2 linked regions of the Pelodiscus sinensis genome follow. The protein of the gene in region 1 interacts with the protein of each later gene in a biochemical or structural test. Links are inferred from orthologs where the notes say so. Each region holds a gene or a part of one and is shown in the gene's direction. Other genes may lie near its edges. The genes, in order: PTPRN and SNTB2.

Region 1 (7,975 bases):
GGCAGGCCAGCGTGCCTGGCGCTTGGGGAGGTGACCAGAGGGTCCCTGGCGGGCCCGGTGCCTCAGGGAGGTGACCAGAGGGTCCCTGGCAGGTCGGAGGGTCCAGCGCCTCAGGGAGGTGACCAGAGGGTCCCTGGCAGGCCCGGTGCCTCAGGGAGGTGACCAGAGGGTCCCTGGCAGGTCGGAGGGTCCAGCGCCTCGGGGAGGTGACCAGAGGGTCCCTGGCAGGCCGGAGGGTCCAGCGCCTCGGGGAGGTGACCAGAGGGTCCCTGGCAGGCCGGAGGGTCCAGCGCCTCGGGGAGGTGACCAGAGGGTCCCTGGCAGGTCGGAGGGTCCAGCGCCTCGGGGAGGTGACCAGAGGGTCCCTGGCAGGCCGGAGGGTCCAGCGCCTCGGGGAGGTGACCAGAGGGTCCCTGGCAGGCCGGAGGGTCCAGCGCCTCGGGGAGGTGACCAGAGGGTCCCTGGCAGGTCGGAGGGTCCAGCGCCTCGGGGAGGTGACCAGAGGGTCCCTGGCAGGTCGGAGGGTCCAGCGCCTCGGGGAGGTGACCAGAGGGTCCCTGGCAGGTCGGAGGGTCCAGCGCCTCGGGGAGGTGACCAGAGGGTCCCTGGCAGGCCGGAGGGTCCAGCGCCTCGGGGAGGTGACCAGAGGGTCCCTGGCGGTCCCAGCACTCGAGGAGGTGACCAGAGGGTTCACGGCGGGCTGGTGGTCCCAGTGCTTGGGGAGGTGACTGTGCTGGTGCGTTGGGGTTTCCCAACTCCTGCACCCCTGTAATGGCATGAACAGACCCCACCAGCCAGTAGAACAGGGGAGTTTATTGCCTCTCCAGGGTACAGCCCAGCACAGATGGAATCTGGTTCCAGGAAGGGGGCTAAGAGGCCTCAGAGCCCCCCCTTGAGATGGGGGGTGGCTGGGCCCTACAATCCCAGCCCCCTCCCTAGCTCTTTCTCCCCTGCTTCCCAGACAGAAACTAACCAACTCTCTCCCAGCCAGGGGCGGCATCCACCTTCCTTTGATTCTCTCCCTGAGGGGTAGCTGGTCAGACAGGTTGAGAGACCCTCTTTGCATAATGACTCACCCCCTGCCCTGCTGGGCCGTGCTGTAGCCAGCAAGGAACCCCCCACTACGTCACAGTGACCAGAGGGTCCCTGGTGGGCCCGGTGCTCGGGGAGGTGACCAGAGGGTCCCTGGTGGGCCCGGTGCTCGGGGAGGTGACCAGAGGGTCCCTGGCGGGTTGGTGGTCCCGGCGCTTGGGGAGGTGACCAGAGGGTCCCTGGCGGGCCCGGTGCTCGGGGAGGTGACCAGAGGGTCTCTGGCGGGCCCGGTGCTCGGGGAGGTGACCAGAGGGTCCCTGGCGGGTTGGTGGTCCCGGCGCTTGGGGAGGTGACCAGAGGGTCCCTGGCGGGCCCGGTGCTCGGGGAGGTGACCAGAGGGTCTCTGGCGGGCCCGGTGCTCGGGGAGGTGACCAGAGGGTCCCTGGCGGGTTGGTGGTCCCGGTGCTTGGGGAGGTGACCAGAGGGTCCCTGGCGGGTTGGTGGTCCCGGTGCTCGGGGAGGTGACCAGAGGGTCTCTGGCGGGCCTGGTGCTCGGGGAGGTGACCAGAGGGTCCCTGGCGGGCCTGGTGCTCGGGGAGGTGACCAGAGGGTCCCTGGCGGGTTGGTGGTCCCGGCGCTTGGGGAGGTGACCAGAGGGTCCCTGGCGGGCCCGGTGCTCGGGGAGGTGACCAGAGGGTCTCTGGCGGGCCCGGTGCTCGGGGAGGTGACCAGAGGGTCCCTGGCGGGTTGGTGGTCCCGGCGCTTGGGGAGGTGACCAGAGGGTCCCTGGCGGGCCCGGTGCTCGGGGAGGTGACCAGAGGGTCTCTGGCGGGCCCGGTGCTCGGGGAGGTGACCAGAGGGTCCCTGGCGGGTTGGTGGTCCCGGTGCTTGGGGAGGTGACCAGAGGGTCCCTGGCGGGTTGGTGGTCCCGGTGCTCGGGGAGGTGACCAGAGGGTCTCTGGCGGGCCTGGTGCTCGGGGAGGTGACCAGAGGGTCCCTGGCGGGCCTGGTGCTCGGGGAGGTGACCAGAGGGTCCCTGGCGGGTTGGTGGTCCCGGCGCTTGGGGAGGTGACCAGAGGGTCTCTGGCAGGCCGGAGGGCCCAGCGCCTCGGGAAGATGACCAGAGGGTCCCTGGCAGCTGGCAGGCCTGGCGCTCAGTGGCCCAGGGGCTGGGCACTCCAGCCGGTTACTCACAGGGCTCAAGGATTAGTGGGGGCTCCTGGCTAAGCTGCAGGGGTCTATGAGGTCTGCAGGGCTGGCTGGTGTTGCCAGTGGCTGGCGAGCGGAGGTGACCCCTGCCAGTGCGGACAAGGCCTGCCCGGGCTAAGGGCAGGGAGGGCCCTGCAGCCCAGGCACCCAGGTACTGGCAGCCCGGATGGCCCGGGGGAAGCACAGGTGCCTGTGTGAGAACAGCAACGGGGCTGGTCTCTGGGCCTGTGGCAGCGGTTCCAGCAGCCCAGGGGTGAGCCAGAGCCCGGGGCGGAGCAGCGAGGCCCTGCAAAGGGAGGCCCAGGAGCTGATGCTGGAGGGCGGGGCCGGCGGGGGCTCGGCGAGGGGCCAGGCCTGGACGTGCGGGCGCTGGCAGGGGCCTGGCTGTGCCACTCGGCGCATTGTGCTCTGCACAGGTGGGGGAGGCGCAGGCGCCGGCTGCACCGAGGGCCCGGGCGGGGGGGCAGGCGATGCTCAGCGGGAGCTCGGCAAATGCCCGGGACCCCCTCCCAGAGGCCAGACCCCACAAGACGAGGTGAGAGCCTGCACTGAGCTGCCATGCTTGCCAGCTGGTGACTGTCTGCCCCATTGCCCCGCCCTGCCCCGTCCCACTCCCTGCCCTGCCCCATTGCCCCACCTCACTGCCCTGCCCCACCCTCATCCCACTCCCTGCCCTGCCCTGCCCCATTGCCCCACCTCACTGCCCTGCCCCGCCCTCATCCCACTCCCTGCCCTGCCCTGCCCCATTGCCCCACCTCACTGCCCTGCCCCGCCCTCATCCCACTCCCTGCCCTGCCCTGCCCCATTGCCCCACCTCACTGCCCTGCCCCGCCCTCATCCCACTCCCTGCCCTGCCCTGCCCCATTGCCCCACCTCACTGCCCTGCCCCGCCCTCATCCCACTCCCTGCCCTGCCCTGCCCCATTGCCCCACCTCACTGCCCTGCCCTGCCCTCATCCCACTCCCTGCCCTGCCCTGCCCCATTGCCCCACCTCACTGCCCTGCCCTGCCCTCATCCCACTCCCTGCCCTGCCCTGCCCCATTGCCCCACCTCACTGCCCTGCCCTGCCCTCATCCCACTCCCTGCCCTGCCCTGCCCCATTGCCCCACCTCACTGCCCTGCCCTGCCCTCATCCCACTCCCTGCCCTGCCCTGCCCCATTGCCCCACCTCACTGCCCTGCCCTGCCCTCATCCCACTCCCTGCCCTGCCCTGCCCCATTGCCCCACCTCACTGCCCTGCCCTGCCCTCATCCCACTCCCTGCCTTTCCTCATTGCCTGCCCCACCCCACTGCCCTACCCTGTCCCATTGCCCCACCCCATTGCCCTGCCCTTCCCCATTGCCCCGCCTCTGTGCCCTGCCCCATCGTCTGCCCTGCCCAATTGCCTTGCTCCCTTGCCCAGCTCTATCCTATTATCTGCCCTGCCCCACTGCCCTGCCCTATTGCCCCACCTGCCCTATTGCCCTTCCCCATTGTCTGCACTGCCCCACTGCCATGCACTTGTCCTATTATCTGCCCTGCCCCACTGCCCTGCCCTATTGCCCCGCCTGCTCTATTGCCCTTCCCCATTGTCTGCACTGCCCCACTGCCATGCACTTGTCCTATTATCTGCCCTGCCCCATTGCCCCACCCCCCGCCTCACTGCATTGTCCTGCCCCCTTTTGCCCATCCTGCCCCACTAGCTGCCTCACCCCCCAGGTTCCTAGGACATTGGCCACCAGGCACGTGCCAGCTCCTAGAAGCCCAGACACACTCGTCCTATTGGCCCACCTGGTGTGAGGGTGTGTCGGGGCAGGGCTGTGATTGGTCTGTTGTACAGGGGGCGGGACTCTGGTAGGCACCTGCCATCCCCCTGGGTTGTGGTTGGTGTCATCTGCAGTGGGCGTGGCTCCTCAGAGAGGGGCGTGTCCTGTGTGTAAGAGTGATTGGGGCAACTGGCGAGGGCGTGATTCAGGGGGCGGGGTTAATACATTTTGGGGGACGCGGTTGGTCCCCTGTGGAAGGGCTCTCACGGTGATTGGTGCATCCCAAAGGGGCGGGGCTATTGGCAGGGGGCGTGTCCCGCTCATTTAGATTACCTGGAGGGCGTGTCCCAGACATGCGTGGTGGTTGGTTCCCTGTTGGGGGCGTGTCCTGGCTGCAGGGTGCGATTGGTGGCTCCGCAAGGGGCGTGTCCAGACTGCGGCCTGTGATTGGCTCCTCGGGTGGGGGCGTGGCCGGGCGGCCCGGCGGCTGCGGGCGGCGCTGGGCTGCGGGCCCGGCGTGGTGCGGAGCGGAGCCGAGCGGCCGGGATGGGGCGGCGGCTGCTGCGGCCGCTTCTCTGCCTCCTGCTCGTGGCCGGCCGCCTGCCGCGGGCCGGGGGCGCCGGACCCCACGGTGAGGGGCGGCCGGGGGATGGGGGTGTCGGCCTGGGGGGGTCCCCATGGGGGGGCTGGGCTGGGGGTATCGGTCTGGGGGGTCCCCATGGGGGGGCTGGGCTGGGGGTATCGGTCTGGGGGGGTCCCCATGGGGGGGGCTGGGCTGGGGGGTATCGGCCTGGGGGTCCCCATGGGGAGGGCTGGGGGGGTATCGGTCTGGGGAGGTCCCCATGGGGAGGGCTGGGGGGGCATCGGTCTGGGGGGGTCCCCGTGGGGGGGCTGGGCTGGGGGTATCGGTCTGGAGGGGTATCGATCTGGGCAGTCCCCATGGAGGGTATCGGTCTGGAGGGGTATTGGTCTGGGGGGGTCCCAATGGGGGGTATCGGTCTGGGGGGTCCCCATGGCGGGTGGCTGTGCTGAGGGGGGTATCGGTCTGGGGGGTCCACATGGGGAGGGCTGGTCTGGGGGTCCCCGTGGGGAGGGCTGGTCTGGGTGGGTATCGGTCTGGGGAGGTCCCAATGGGGGGTATCGGTCTGGGGGTCCCCATGGGGGGTGGCTGTGCTGAGGGAGGTATCGGTCTGGGGGGTCCCCGTGGGGGGGCTGAGCTGGGGGGGTATCGGTCTGGGGGGCCCCCGTGGGGGGGCTGGGCTGGGGGGTATCGGTCTGGGGGGTCCCCGTGGGGGGGCTGGGCTGGGGGGTATCGGTCTGGGGGTCCCCGGGGGGTGGCTGTGCTGAGGGGGGTATCGGTCTGGGGGGTCCCCGTGGGGGGGCTGGGCTGGGGGGTATCGGTCTGGGGGGGTTCCCATGGGGGGTATCGATCTGGGGGGATCCCCATGGGGAGGGCGGGCTGGCCAGGGGGGGGCTGTCTTGCTGGGGGCTGGATTTCAGCATCTGGCGCCTGTGTGGGAGTGGAGCTTGGTTGTTGTCTGGGGCCCTCGCAGCTGGACCCCTTGCGCATGGGCGGCTGCTGCTCGGGCCCCGGTTACAGCGGCTGGGGGGGAAGCTGCCCCCCCTGCCATGCACTGCCCCCTGCCGCGCGTGGCTCCTGCCCCTTGCCTGGCACCCCTGGCTTTGGCTTTGGGGGGTGCTGCGTGAGGTGGGGTTCACTCTAGCCCCAGGGCTGCACCCCCAGCCTCCCGGCACTGCTCTTACCTTCCCGTCGGGGAGCAGGCAGCGAGGGGTCAGGCTGGGCAGGGCGGCGGGACGGGGGCACCTGGTGTTTGCACCCTGGCCAGGCCTGACTGAGCCCGGGGGCTGCACCTGGAAACCGTGGTCCTGCTCCTGGGGGGCAGCTGGAGGGGCAGTGCTGCTGGGGAGCTGGGAAGGGGGAACGCGGCTGGGAGCAGACAGGCTGGGGGTGAACCTGCCCATCCTGGGGGTCTAGGAGGACCCCGCTGCCCCCGGGGGGGTGGTGCTGTCTGCCCTCTGCGTGGCTGCCTGTCACAGGCACGTCACAGGGCTCACAGCCCCCCTGCTCTCCCCCCGCTCCTGTGCCAGGCAGTATTCCTCCTGCTCCGCTGCAGACGTCACTGGTCCCTGGTCCCTGCCCGTCGGTGCTGGGGAAACGCCTCTTCTCCACTTGCGCCAGCCCGCCCCCTCCCCCCGGCGCCCCTCCCTCCCCCCCGCCTGCTTTGGGGGGGCGAGCGGCCCCCTGCCCTTGGTCCCCGCAGCTGGGAAGGTGGCCTGAGCCCCTCCCACACAGAGGGGGCCCATCTCCCTTCTCCCCTGGCGCCAGGTTGGGGGCCAGTGGGCGCCTCCCCAAGAGGGGGCACAGGCCAGTCCTGCCCTTGCTGGACAAGGTCCCTGGAGCCCGTGGGGCCAGCGGCTGGCAGCCTCCCCCTTGCACCCCTGCCTGGGGCCTCGGCAGCCGTTTGGTGCCTGTGCGTGCGGTGCAGCGGCCTTCCCGCTCCCCCGGGCCTGCTGCCGCTGAAAGGGCCCGATCCGGAGCCCCTCCCTGGCAGGGAGCCGGAGACGCTGGCTGAGCACCCTGCCTGCTCGGGCAGGGGTGTCCCCGTCCCCCTCCAGCTGGGCGGGGCTCCCAGGGGCTCTGCTTGGCCCTGCCTGGCTCTGCCCATCCTGCGGGGCTGCAAAGCAGGGCAGGAGCTGGGCCCCCCGGCCTCTCGAGCCCCCGGCAGCTCAGGCAGGTGGCTCGTACGAGACGCAGGCGCCGAGACCCTGAGCCGGAGGAGGCGGCAGGGCAGGGGGGGCGGGGCTGTGGCCGGGGGGTGGGGCTGGGGCGCAGCTGCAGGGCGCTTCGCGAGCATGGGTCGGGCGCGTGGAGCCTGGGATGGGGGGGCGGGTGCAGACCGAGTGGGGCCGGGCCGGGCTCTGGTGGGGGAGTGCTCTGGGCCCCAACGCCCCCGCCCGCTGGGCACAGAGTGGGCAGCCAAGGGGTGAAGGCGCCTCCCAGCATGCTTAGCGCCTGCCCGGGAGCCCTGGGGCAGGCGGGGGGGTGGGGGGAGGAGGTGCCAGTTCTGAAGCCGCCCGGCACTTTATCTTCCTGCCCTGGGACCCGCATGCGGCTCAAATCCATGGTTGTGGCCCACGGCTCAGCAGGCTCCTGCCAGGCCCCATCCCCACGGCGCCCCCCTGCAGACTGGGGGCCCTTCCCCTCCCCTCGGGAGCAGAGGGGCCAAACCTTGCTGGCTCCCCAGGGAGTGACCTTGGACCCTTCAGAGCCTGGCACAAGGGTGCTGTGGGCCCTGTTCATACCACGGGGCTGGACCGGAGTTCTGTCTGGCTGCCGTGGGGCTGGGCTGGGGGGCTGGCTGGCACAGAGGAGCCGTGGGGCAGGCTGGGGGGCTGGCTGGCACAGAGGAGCTGTGGGGCAGGCTGGGGAGCTGGCTGGCACAGAGGAGCCGTGGGGCAGGCTGGGAGCTGGCTGGCACAGAGGAGTCGTGAGGGAGGCTGGGGGGGCTGGCTGGCACAGAGGAGCCGTGAGGGAGGCTGGGGGGGCTGGCCGGCACAGAGGAGCCGTGAGGCAGGCTGGGGGGCTGGCTGGCACAGAGGAGCCGTGAGGCAGGCTGGGGGGCTGGCTGGCACAGAGGAGCCGTGAGGCAGGCTGGGGGGCTGGCTGGCACAGAGGGGCTGTGGGGCAGGCTGGGGGGCTGGCTGGCACAGAAGAGCTGTGGGGCAGGTTGGGGGGCTGGCTGGCACAGAGGAGCTGTGGGGCAGGCTGGGGAGCTGGCTGGCACAGAGCAGCCATGGCGCAGGCTGAGGGGCAGGCTGGCACAGAGGAGCCATGGGGCAGGCTGGGGGGCTGGCTGGCACAGAGGAGCCGTGGGGCAAGCTGAGGGGGCTGGCCGGCACAGAGGAGCCGTGGGGCAGGCTGGGGGGTTGGCCAGCACAGAGGAGCCGTGGGGCAGGCTGGGGGGTTG
Region 2 (8,381 bases), on another chromosome or scaffold:
TGCCCCTTGGGGCTTCTCGCCGCCGCAGAGGCTGGCCTGGCCCCAGGGCCCGTTCCTGGAGGGTTACAGCAACGTGGCCCCTTCTCGCTCAGGGCAGGCCCCAGGCTTGCAGTCAGTACGGCCTTCGTTGCGCCGGATGCTGGCGGCTCTCCCTGCCGCGCGGCTGGTCCTGAGGCCGGACAGGAACGCTTCTCGCCCCCATCGCTCGCGGGGCCTGGGAGCCCGGCTCTGTGCGGATGTCACGGGAGAGGCAATCCCTGTGCCAAAGCCCTGCAGCCTAACTGGGGGATGGAACCCCCTTTGACACCTCAGCCCGTGTTCGACCTGGCCACCCGCCCCTCGGTGGCTTGCTGCTGGGCTGCCCGCTGGGAGAATGGGGGGGGGGGCTGCCCGCTGGGAGAATGGGGGGGGGGCTGCCCGTTGGCTTCTGCCAGATGTGGTCAGTTCTCACCCAGATTCATACCAACAAACAGCCACTTTGGCCACTGCCAAAACCCTGCGTCCAGCCAGATTTCATGCTCCGCTCTTTGTGTGTAAACAGCAACTAGCTCGAGGGGGATCGGTAGCCGGCCACACCGGATTTCTTTTAGCTGGTACCTGTGTACAGTAGGCCTGCACCAGGGTGAGTTGAAACTAGAAGGGTGAGTTGAAACTTGCCAGCTGTCTACACCGGCTGCTTGAATTTCCACAAGAACACTGACTTCCTACTGTCTGAAATCAGTGCTTCTTGCGGAAATACTATGCTGCTTCCGTTCGGGCAAAAGCCCTCTTGCGCAAATCATTTGCTCAAGAGGGCCACTGTAGACAGCACAGGACTGTTTTCCGCAAAAAAGCCCCAATGGCGAAAATGGCGATCGGGGCTTTTTTGCGCAAAACCGCGTCTAGATTGGCACGGACACTTTTCCGCAAAAAGTGCTTGTGCGGAAAAGCATCCGTGCCAATCTAGACGCTCTTTTCTGCAAATGCTTTTAACGGAAAACTTTTCCGTTCAAAGCATTTGCGGAAAATCATGCCAATCGAGACGTAGCCGAAATGTTAAATCCCGTTTAATTAGTTAACCGGTTAAACATAATGTTTGACCGGTTAAGCAATTGATCGGGGGCGGGGGAAAGCATGTCCAGCCCTGGTGCCTCCCCTCGCCCACTGGAGCCAGGCTGGACCAGCCCCTACTGGTTAAGCATGACCAGTAAGCAGCACCTGGTATGGGTAATGTTTACCAGTTAACCTTTCCTGCCCCTAGTTGAAAGGCAGTTCCTGGTGCATGTTACTGGTTTGGTGGCCCTTTTACAGAAAGCAGATGCTTGATTTCACTGCTTATGCCATGATTCAAATCCCGAAGGTGCCCAGCCAGGCATGGGGACCCAGCTTCAAAACGTAGAACCTGCATGTGCAAAGGGCCCAGCTGGCCGCTTGCGTGTGCAGTCCCAGCGTGCCCCATGCGTGGGCATGCGTCTAAATCCGAGCCCAAGCATCGCTGCAGGCAGTTACAGGAACACCGAGGGGCTTGTCTAAGCCAAGCTGAGCGAACCGTTCCAGCCCGGCTTGTGAGTGTGTGGAGTAGATGTTGGTGCTGCGCACGCAGGCAGTGACTTGTGTGCATGCTGTAGCCACCTGCTTTCACCGCCTGCCTGCTGCTGGCCTTTCCTGACAGCCCCTGCAGCCTGTACCCCCATGACCCTTCTCCTCCAGGCCCCCTTTCTCTTCCCGCTCCATGTTGGATGCCCTTGTTCTACTCCCACAGTTCTGAATCTGCGTTTGCCGCGTGCGCTGGGCCTTACAGTGTGGTGTGAGCACCCCGCTTCCATGACCACGCGGCCTGCCCCCCTCTGCCATCAGTTAGCCCCACTTGCTTCTTGCTGCCTTCCTGTGCCGGCTCCAGAAGATACTCCTGTGGACAAGCAGTGGTCGGGAGCAGTCTGAGAGCTGCTGCTCTGTGTTTTCTTAGCCTTTACCAGTGATACTTTGAACTGTGGTGCACAACCAGGCTTTCTGGCTCCGAGGACCCTGCAGCTTGCTTTGCAGGCCCCTCTAACGCTGCGCCAGCAGGGGGCACCGTTCCCTTAGCTGTTAGGTGGTTACGGCTCATGGAAACAGGGAGACTCAGTTGATCTCCCCATAAGATTTACTGGGCCCTGCCTTAGCGCAGGAACTGGCCTAGGTGACCATTCCAGGGCCCTCCCAGCCCTGTGTTTGTCATTCGAAGCTGCTGCAAAATTGATTGTGAATGTTTCTGAACTGAAACCACAGGCTTGAAAGCGGTGCAGGGCTGCGGGGGCGGCTCCCTCTAGGCTGTCAGCTTGTTACAGCTTGGTCCGTGTTAGCAGGAAAGGAAGTTAATTCACAAAACGTGAAGAACGGGGGTGTGCTCAGACTTGCAAAACCTCAATCACTGAGCTGGGGTTTTCCTGCTGATCCCTGGAGGGAGACCACTGGCTGTAGCTGGGGAGTGATCTGTGGGCTGCATGACTGCTCCCCCCATGGGGATACTTCTCCAGTCTGCATCTATGTGGTTGCGCCCATCACGTTCGGCTATTCTGCCATTTCCATTCAGCTCCTGTTCAGAGGCTCGTTTTGGCTGTTGTAATCCCCCTCCTGCTGAAATCCTGTGGCATGTCACCTTCTAACAAAGCACCGGGCTGTCCCTTATACTTGTGATTCCTATGCAGCCCTCTTGGTACTGCTGTCACAAAGGCCAACCCCTGGATCAAGTTACAGCATCATCGCCTGGAGGAGAAGGCTGAGAGCTCTCAATCAGAACTAATTCACCAGGTCGCGGTGAATAGCAACTCAGCAGATTTCAGCAGCTCCGGTGAAATTAAGCAACATTTCAGTTGCTCTGCAGTTCCCATTTCAAGGCAAAAGCTCACGTGCGGGGAGAGCATTTATACTAAATGGTGAATCAGATCAGGCCTCTGTCCCATCCTGCTTGGGAGCAGAAAACCCCAGTGCAAAGAATTGTTCTGGAGTGTAGGTTGTTCTATGGAGAAGAGCAGCCCCCTTCCCCCCCCATCCTTGTGCTGTGGGCTGCTACCCCTTAGCATCATTTATACATCTGAGCAGCAGGAAACCTCCCATTACCAAAGTGCAGTTGGTGTTTTTTGATCACAGCGATTGTGTTAACAATTAGATTCCCCCTGTGCTGCTGGTAGTTCTGGAATAGGCAACCTCATTCTTAGGGGGGAGGGATAACTGGTTTGAATGTTGGCCTGCTAAACCCAGCATTGTGAGCTCAATCCTTGAGGAAGCCATTTAGCGATCTGGGGCAAAATCTGTCAGGGATGGTATTTGGTCCTGCTGTGAAGGCAGGGGACTGGACTTGATGACCTTTCAGGGTCCCATCCAGTTCTAGGAAATAGGCATCTCCATGCATTTCACTTTTACATTCTTAGAACTTGTCTCTGGTCATTCCAAAGCCCTTGTCAAACTACCTAGTTACATATGATACCTGGTCTTATAGTCTTCCCAAATCCCAGTAAGTTACATTGCACTGATTGTGGCTGTTTGTTGTGTATTATATTTAGTAGAGGTCTGACGTGCAACACACTGGCTTGTGCACATAAAACTTGCAGCTGCTGCTGTTTGAGCAGTAGACAGAGCTAGAACACGGGGGTGGGGGGAAATGTAGTTTAATCTTGATATGTGACTTCTTGAACTGAGTTTTTCCTAATATTTTAGCCAATTGATTTCTAAAGCAAAAATGTCTGTCCTGCCTCACGCTGCTCTAATTCACAATTCCCTTTCATTTTCATGAATGAGAAAGGGGTGTCAACTTCGTGTGGTTATTGCTGCCTGAACCACCTGCCCCCAACCCTGTGCTCACAGGGTGCTAGGCAAAGGGCTGGCAGGCGTTGGTTGTACTTCCCCTCTCAGTAGGTGTTGTGGGGAGTCTGAGATCATTGGTGGGTACATCTGCTTGAGTTAAAAATAGGGCTCTGAGGGATCAGTAGCCAAGGCCCAGCCTCAGGCAGGAATTCAGCAAGCTCCGGGCTGGTGGGGCTGTACTAATCTCAAGCGGGCCTGTAACCGAATTTCTGCCTTAAGATTGGATGTGCTGCCGCCCGCTGTCTAGCCCTGGCTCTGCTCCCCTTGTTCAGGGCTGCAGCGGGGAACGGGGAGATCAGGCTACCTTTTTCCTGGAGCAAGAAAGTGAAGCAAAGGCAGGGGATCTGGAAAGCTGGGTGTTGGTGTTCCCCACGGGGCTTTGCCTTCACTAGTCCTGCAGCAGGGGAGGACCTAGGGATGTACTCGCCTCCCTCCTTTCCCTGTTATTAATACAGTTTAGCCTTGGATGGAACTGTTCCCAAACCATGCCCCAGCTTTGGGCTTTTTCTACACTGCCACCCGCCACAGTGCCCCAAGGACAATAGTATTTTTCAGACAGACCATCCCCGGCTCTGGACCCAGTCGGGTTTGGTTCTTACTGCCTTGGCTGGGGCTGGATTGGCTGGTTGAGGGCACAGCTGGCGGGGCTGAGCTAGGGCACCGGAGGGGCCCCTGGTGCTAGGGTGCTGCTGGCCCAAGCTCTGTGCAGACCCCTTTGGACGGAGTGTGTGTGTGTGTGGGGGGGGGGGGGGTGTCTATGGCTCTCAACCCCCTTGGCCTTGGGAAAGAGGGCGGAGCCGCAGAAGCCCCGCCCACTCCGTGGGAGGAGCTCGAGGCGTAAGCCCCGCCCCTCGCCGCCCGTCCCGGGGGGGGTGCGTCCCTGCGCTGCGGCGGGGGCGGGGCTCCGCCCCGAGGCCCCGCCCCTCTGGCCGCCGGCCGCCAATCGCGCGCGGGACGGAGGCCGGGCGGGCGCACTCGCCCGCGGCCGGGGCGGCGCCCGCCTCTGCTGAGCGGGCCGGCGCGCGGCGGGCGGGCGGGCGGTTGGCGGCATGGCGGTGTGGACGCGCGCCGCCAAGGCGGGGCTGCTGGAGCTGCTGCTGCGGGAGCGCTGGGTGCGGGTGGCGGCCGAGCTGAGCGGCGAGGCGCTGAGCCTCACCTCGGAGCCGCCGCCGCCCGAGCCCCCCAACGGGCTGCCCAACGGCGCCGGCAGCCCCGAGCCGCCCGCGGCCGAGCCGGCGCCGCCGGGCGTGCGGCGGGTGCGGGTGGTGAAGGCCGAGGCGGGCGGGCTGGGCATCAGCATCAAGGGCGGGCGCGAGAACCGCATGCCCGTGCTCATCTCCCGCATCTTCCCGGGGCTGGCGGCCGAGCGCTGCGGCGCGCTGCGCCTGGGGGACGCCATCCTCTCGGTCAACGGCACCGACCTGCGCGACGCCACCCACGACCAGGCCGTGCAGGCGCTCAAGCGCGCCGGCCGCGAGGTGCTGCTGGAAGGTACCGCGGGGGGGCGTGTCTCTCGGGGCCCCCCCGCGACCCGGCCCCCCCCCAGCCCCGGACACCGGCTCCCCGTGGGCGGGAGGGGCGTGTCTCTCAGGGCCCCCCCCCCCCCGAGCCCCGGACACCGGCTCCCCGTGGGCGGGAGGGGCGTGTCTCTCAGGGCCCCCCCGCGACCCGGCCCCTCCCCCCAGCCCCGGACACCGGCTCCCCGCGAGCGGGGGAGGCGTGTCTCTCAGGGCCCCCCCCCCCCCCCCGAGCCCTGGACACCAGCTCCCCGCGGGCGGGGGAGGCGTGTCTCTCAGGGCCCCCCCCCCCGAGCCCTGGACACCAGCTCCCCGCGGGCGGGGGAGGCGTGTCTCTCAGGGCCCCCCCCCCCCGAGCCCTGGACACCAGCTCCCCGCGGGCGGGGGAGGCGTGTCTCTCAGGGCCCCCCCCCCCGAGCCCTGGACACCAGCTCCCCGCGGGCGGGGGAGGCGTGTCTCTCAGGGCCCCCCGCGCGACCCGGGCTCCCCCCCTCCGAGCCCCGGACACTGGCTCCCCGCGGGCGGCCCCGCACCACGGGGGTGTCCCCGTGCGGGCGCCGAGAGCCGGGCGCAGAGAGCTTGAGAAAGGAGAGTGATAGAGACGCAGCCGGGTTAGGCTGGTCGGGCTGAACAGCACAGGACTAGGCAGGTTTATTAGGTGACGAGCTCGCCTGGGCCAGACCCACTGCCTCAGATCAAATAGTGGAAGAAAACTGGCACGATATGCCACTGTTTGAGCTTTCGTGGGCCAGACCCACTTTCTCACATCATCGCCTAATAAACCATCTTGTTCATCTTTAAAGTGCTGCATGGTCCTGGTTTTGAGAGCGGAGAGTGGCCCTCCTCTTCCAGTCTGTCCTCTCTGAGCAGCCGGCGGGCGTGATGGGCATTAACTCAACTCTCTGAGCTGCCCGCTGTTAGAGGGGACATGTCCTGACTCAAGCCCGCATCCTGCGTGAGAACTTGTCCCCTCGCGCTTGAAGATCTGTATTGACGTGTGCTTGTGTTCTCACAGTAGTGGGTGGGAGTCCATGCCTAGATTTGTCTGTTGTTTTGGGAAAATTCATGACCTGTAACTCGGGGCCACAAGCTGCCAGTGAAGATGTAATCTGGCTCCTCCCTTCCTTTCTTAGGGGAATCGTTCACTGCCTGGCTCACAGGCTAGCAGCAACATCTGCTGGCTGCAAAAAGCCCTCACCCATGGTGCAATTCTGATTCTCAGGTCTCTTGTTGTGGCTTTTCCTCCAGTAGAGATGCTGCTGCTGCTGCTCTGCAGTTGCTGAGTGAGGCAACATGTGCAATTGAGCAGATAAGGTAGTATTTGTGGTTAGAAGCCCCATAGCTGTAACTGAGAATGCGGTTGTACGGTCTTGTCCACTGGTGCTTGAGCAGTACCATTTGTGATCGATGTGCTCCAATGCTACTAAAACAGACTGAATCTAAATGCTGGGCTGCAAAGCAACAGGCCAAAGTTTTCTGTTTACGTGGAGGTGGAAGCTCTTTAAAACAGTCTTCGCTTAAAATAGAGGCCCATGTGGATTAGGGATGTAAGCCGAGTAGTCAACTACCCGATAAATTTAGGCTTATCGGGTAGTCATGGTGCTACTTGCTTCCCCTTCCCCTCTGTATCAGAGGCAGCAAGGGAGGAAGAAGCATGAGCCTGACTCCTACTACATTTAAACTGCAGACCCACGGGGGGAGGGTACTGAGCACCCCCCCATCGACTAATTAAGTAGTCGATGGAAATTCTATCAACTTATCAATTAGATAATTAACCGCTACTTAACATCCCTGGATATGTTGGTTTTGTGGGAATAATCTTTTCCCTAAAGCAGAATCATTGCTGGTCTAAAATGTTCATGAAGAAAAGCAAGTTGCAGTATTAAGTGATGGATTTGTATTTGTGTCTGTAAAGTAACTGGCATCAAACTGCTGATTGCTTGAATGGGAGAGGCGGGCATTCTGCAAAGAGCATTGAGCTCTGGGGCTCACGACTTTGGACTGTTGGTTGGAAGGAATGGTCTGAAAGAAGCTGGGATAGCTTCACGGGAAAGTACTTGAACTCAGCTATGAACTTTCTGGCTCTGACAATGCTTATTTGTCAACTTGTTTTATGAAAATTCTTGCAAAGTCTATTCATGCTGTTGCAAAGATGGTGCTGAGAGAGGTGCTGGAGATTGGAGGCCTATTGAGAGGGTGTTAAGAGGAATTTAGCTATAGAAATGTGAAATACGTAGCAAACTTTCTGGGTGTCTGGCTGATGAGTCTTGCCCACATGCTCAGGGTTTAGCTGATCGCCATATTTGGGGTCGGGAAGGAATTTTCCTCCAGGGTAGATTGGCAGAGACCCTGGAGGTTTTTTGCCTTCCTCTGTAGCATGGGGCACAGATCACAGCTGGAGGATTCTCTGCATCTTGGGGCCTTCAAAGTATTTGAAGGCTTCAATATCTGAGACATAGATGAGAGGATTATTCTAAGAGGGGTGGGTGAGATTCTGTGGCCTGCACTGTGCAGGGGGTCAGACTAGATGATCATAATGGTCCCTTCTGACCTTAAAGTCTATGAGTCTATAAGCTGACCCATCATTGGCAATAATTATCTGGAAGATGATAGAAGAAAGAAAACCATAAAGCTCCATTCAGAAGGGTGATAAATTATGGGTGTCTCCCCCCCCCCCCCCACTATTCTAGCTATACAGTACACTGCTATATCAGGCAGCATTTGTTTAATGCTGTGAAAGGATTTGATTTTTGCTGGAGGTAAAATGTGGTCCCGGATTACTATTCCTTTGGAAGCTGTTTCTTTGAAATCTTCATCCTGTTGTGTGGAGATATTGGTGTTCTCTTGTTGTTTATTACACAACTTTGTGATTCAAAGGAGTTAGGAGCATACATTATCTGCAGGTGTAGGGAGTTGACCCTATCATTAGTAATGTGGTAGCAAGTAGGGGAAACTGAGTAGTTTCTCTTCAAAACCAAACAGAAAAGTAAAACTTATTTTGCAAGATGCTTCAGAAGGCAAACAGACACCTAGATTTCTGGA

The links.
Region 2: the proteins of PTPRN (region 1) and SNTB2 form a complex in vitro, tested with the Homo sapiens proteins (2 studies listed by BioGRID and IntAct). The link is inferred for Pelodiscus sinensis from reciprocal best matches to the Homo sapiens genes PTPRN and SNTB2.

Annotation. Positions count from the first base shown.
Region 1 is NW_027465982.1:218,005-225,979, reverse strand, and holds the start of PTPRN (receptor-type tyrosine-protein phosphatase-like N), read left to right. Parts: upstream 1-4,460; 5' UTR 4,461-4,532; coding exon 4,533-4,617; intron 4,618-7,975. UniProt on the Homo sapiens protein: Plays a role in vesicle-mediated secretory processes. Required for normal accumulation of secretory vesicles in hippocampus, pituitary and pancreatic islets.
Region 2 is NC_134722.1:1,962,801-1,971,181, reverse strand, and holds the start of SNTB2 (beta-2-syntrophin), read left to right. Parts: upstream 1-4,793; 5' UTR 4,794-4,871; coding exon 4,872-5,313; intron 5,314-8,381. UniProt on the Homo sapiens protein: Adapter protein that binds to and probably organizes the subcellular localization of a variety of membrane proteins. May link various receptors to the actin cytoskeleton and the dystrophin glycoprotein complex.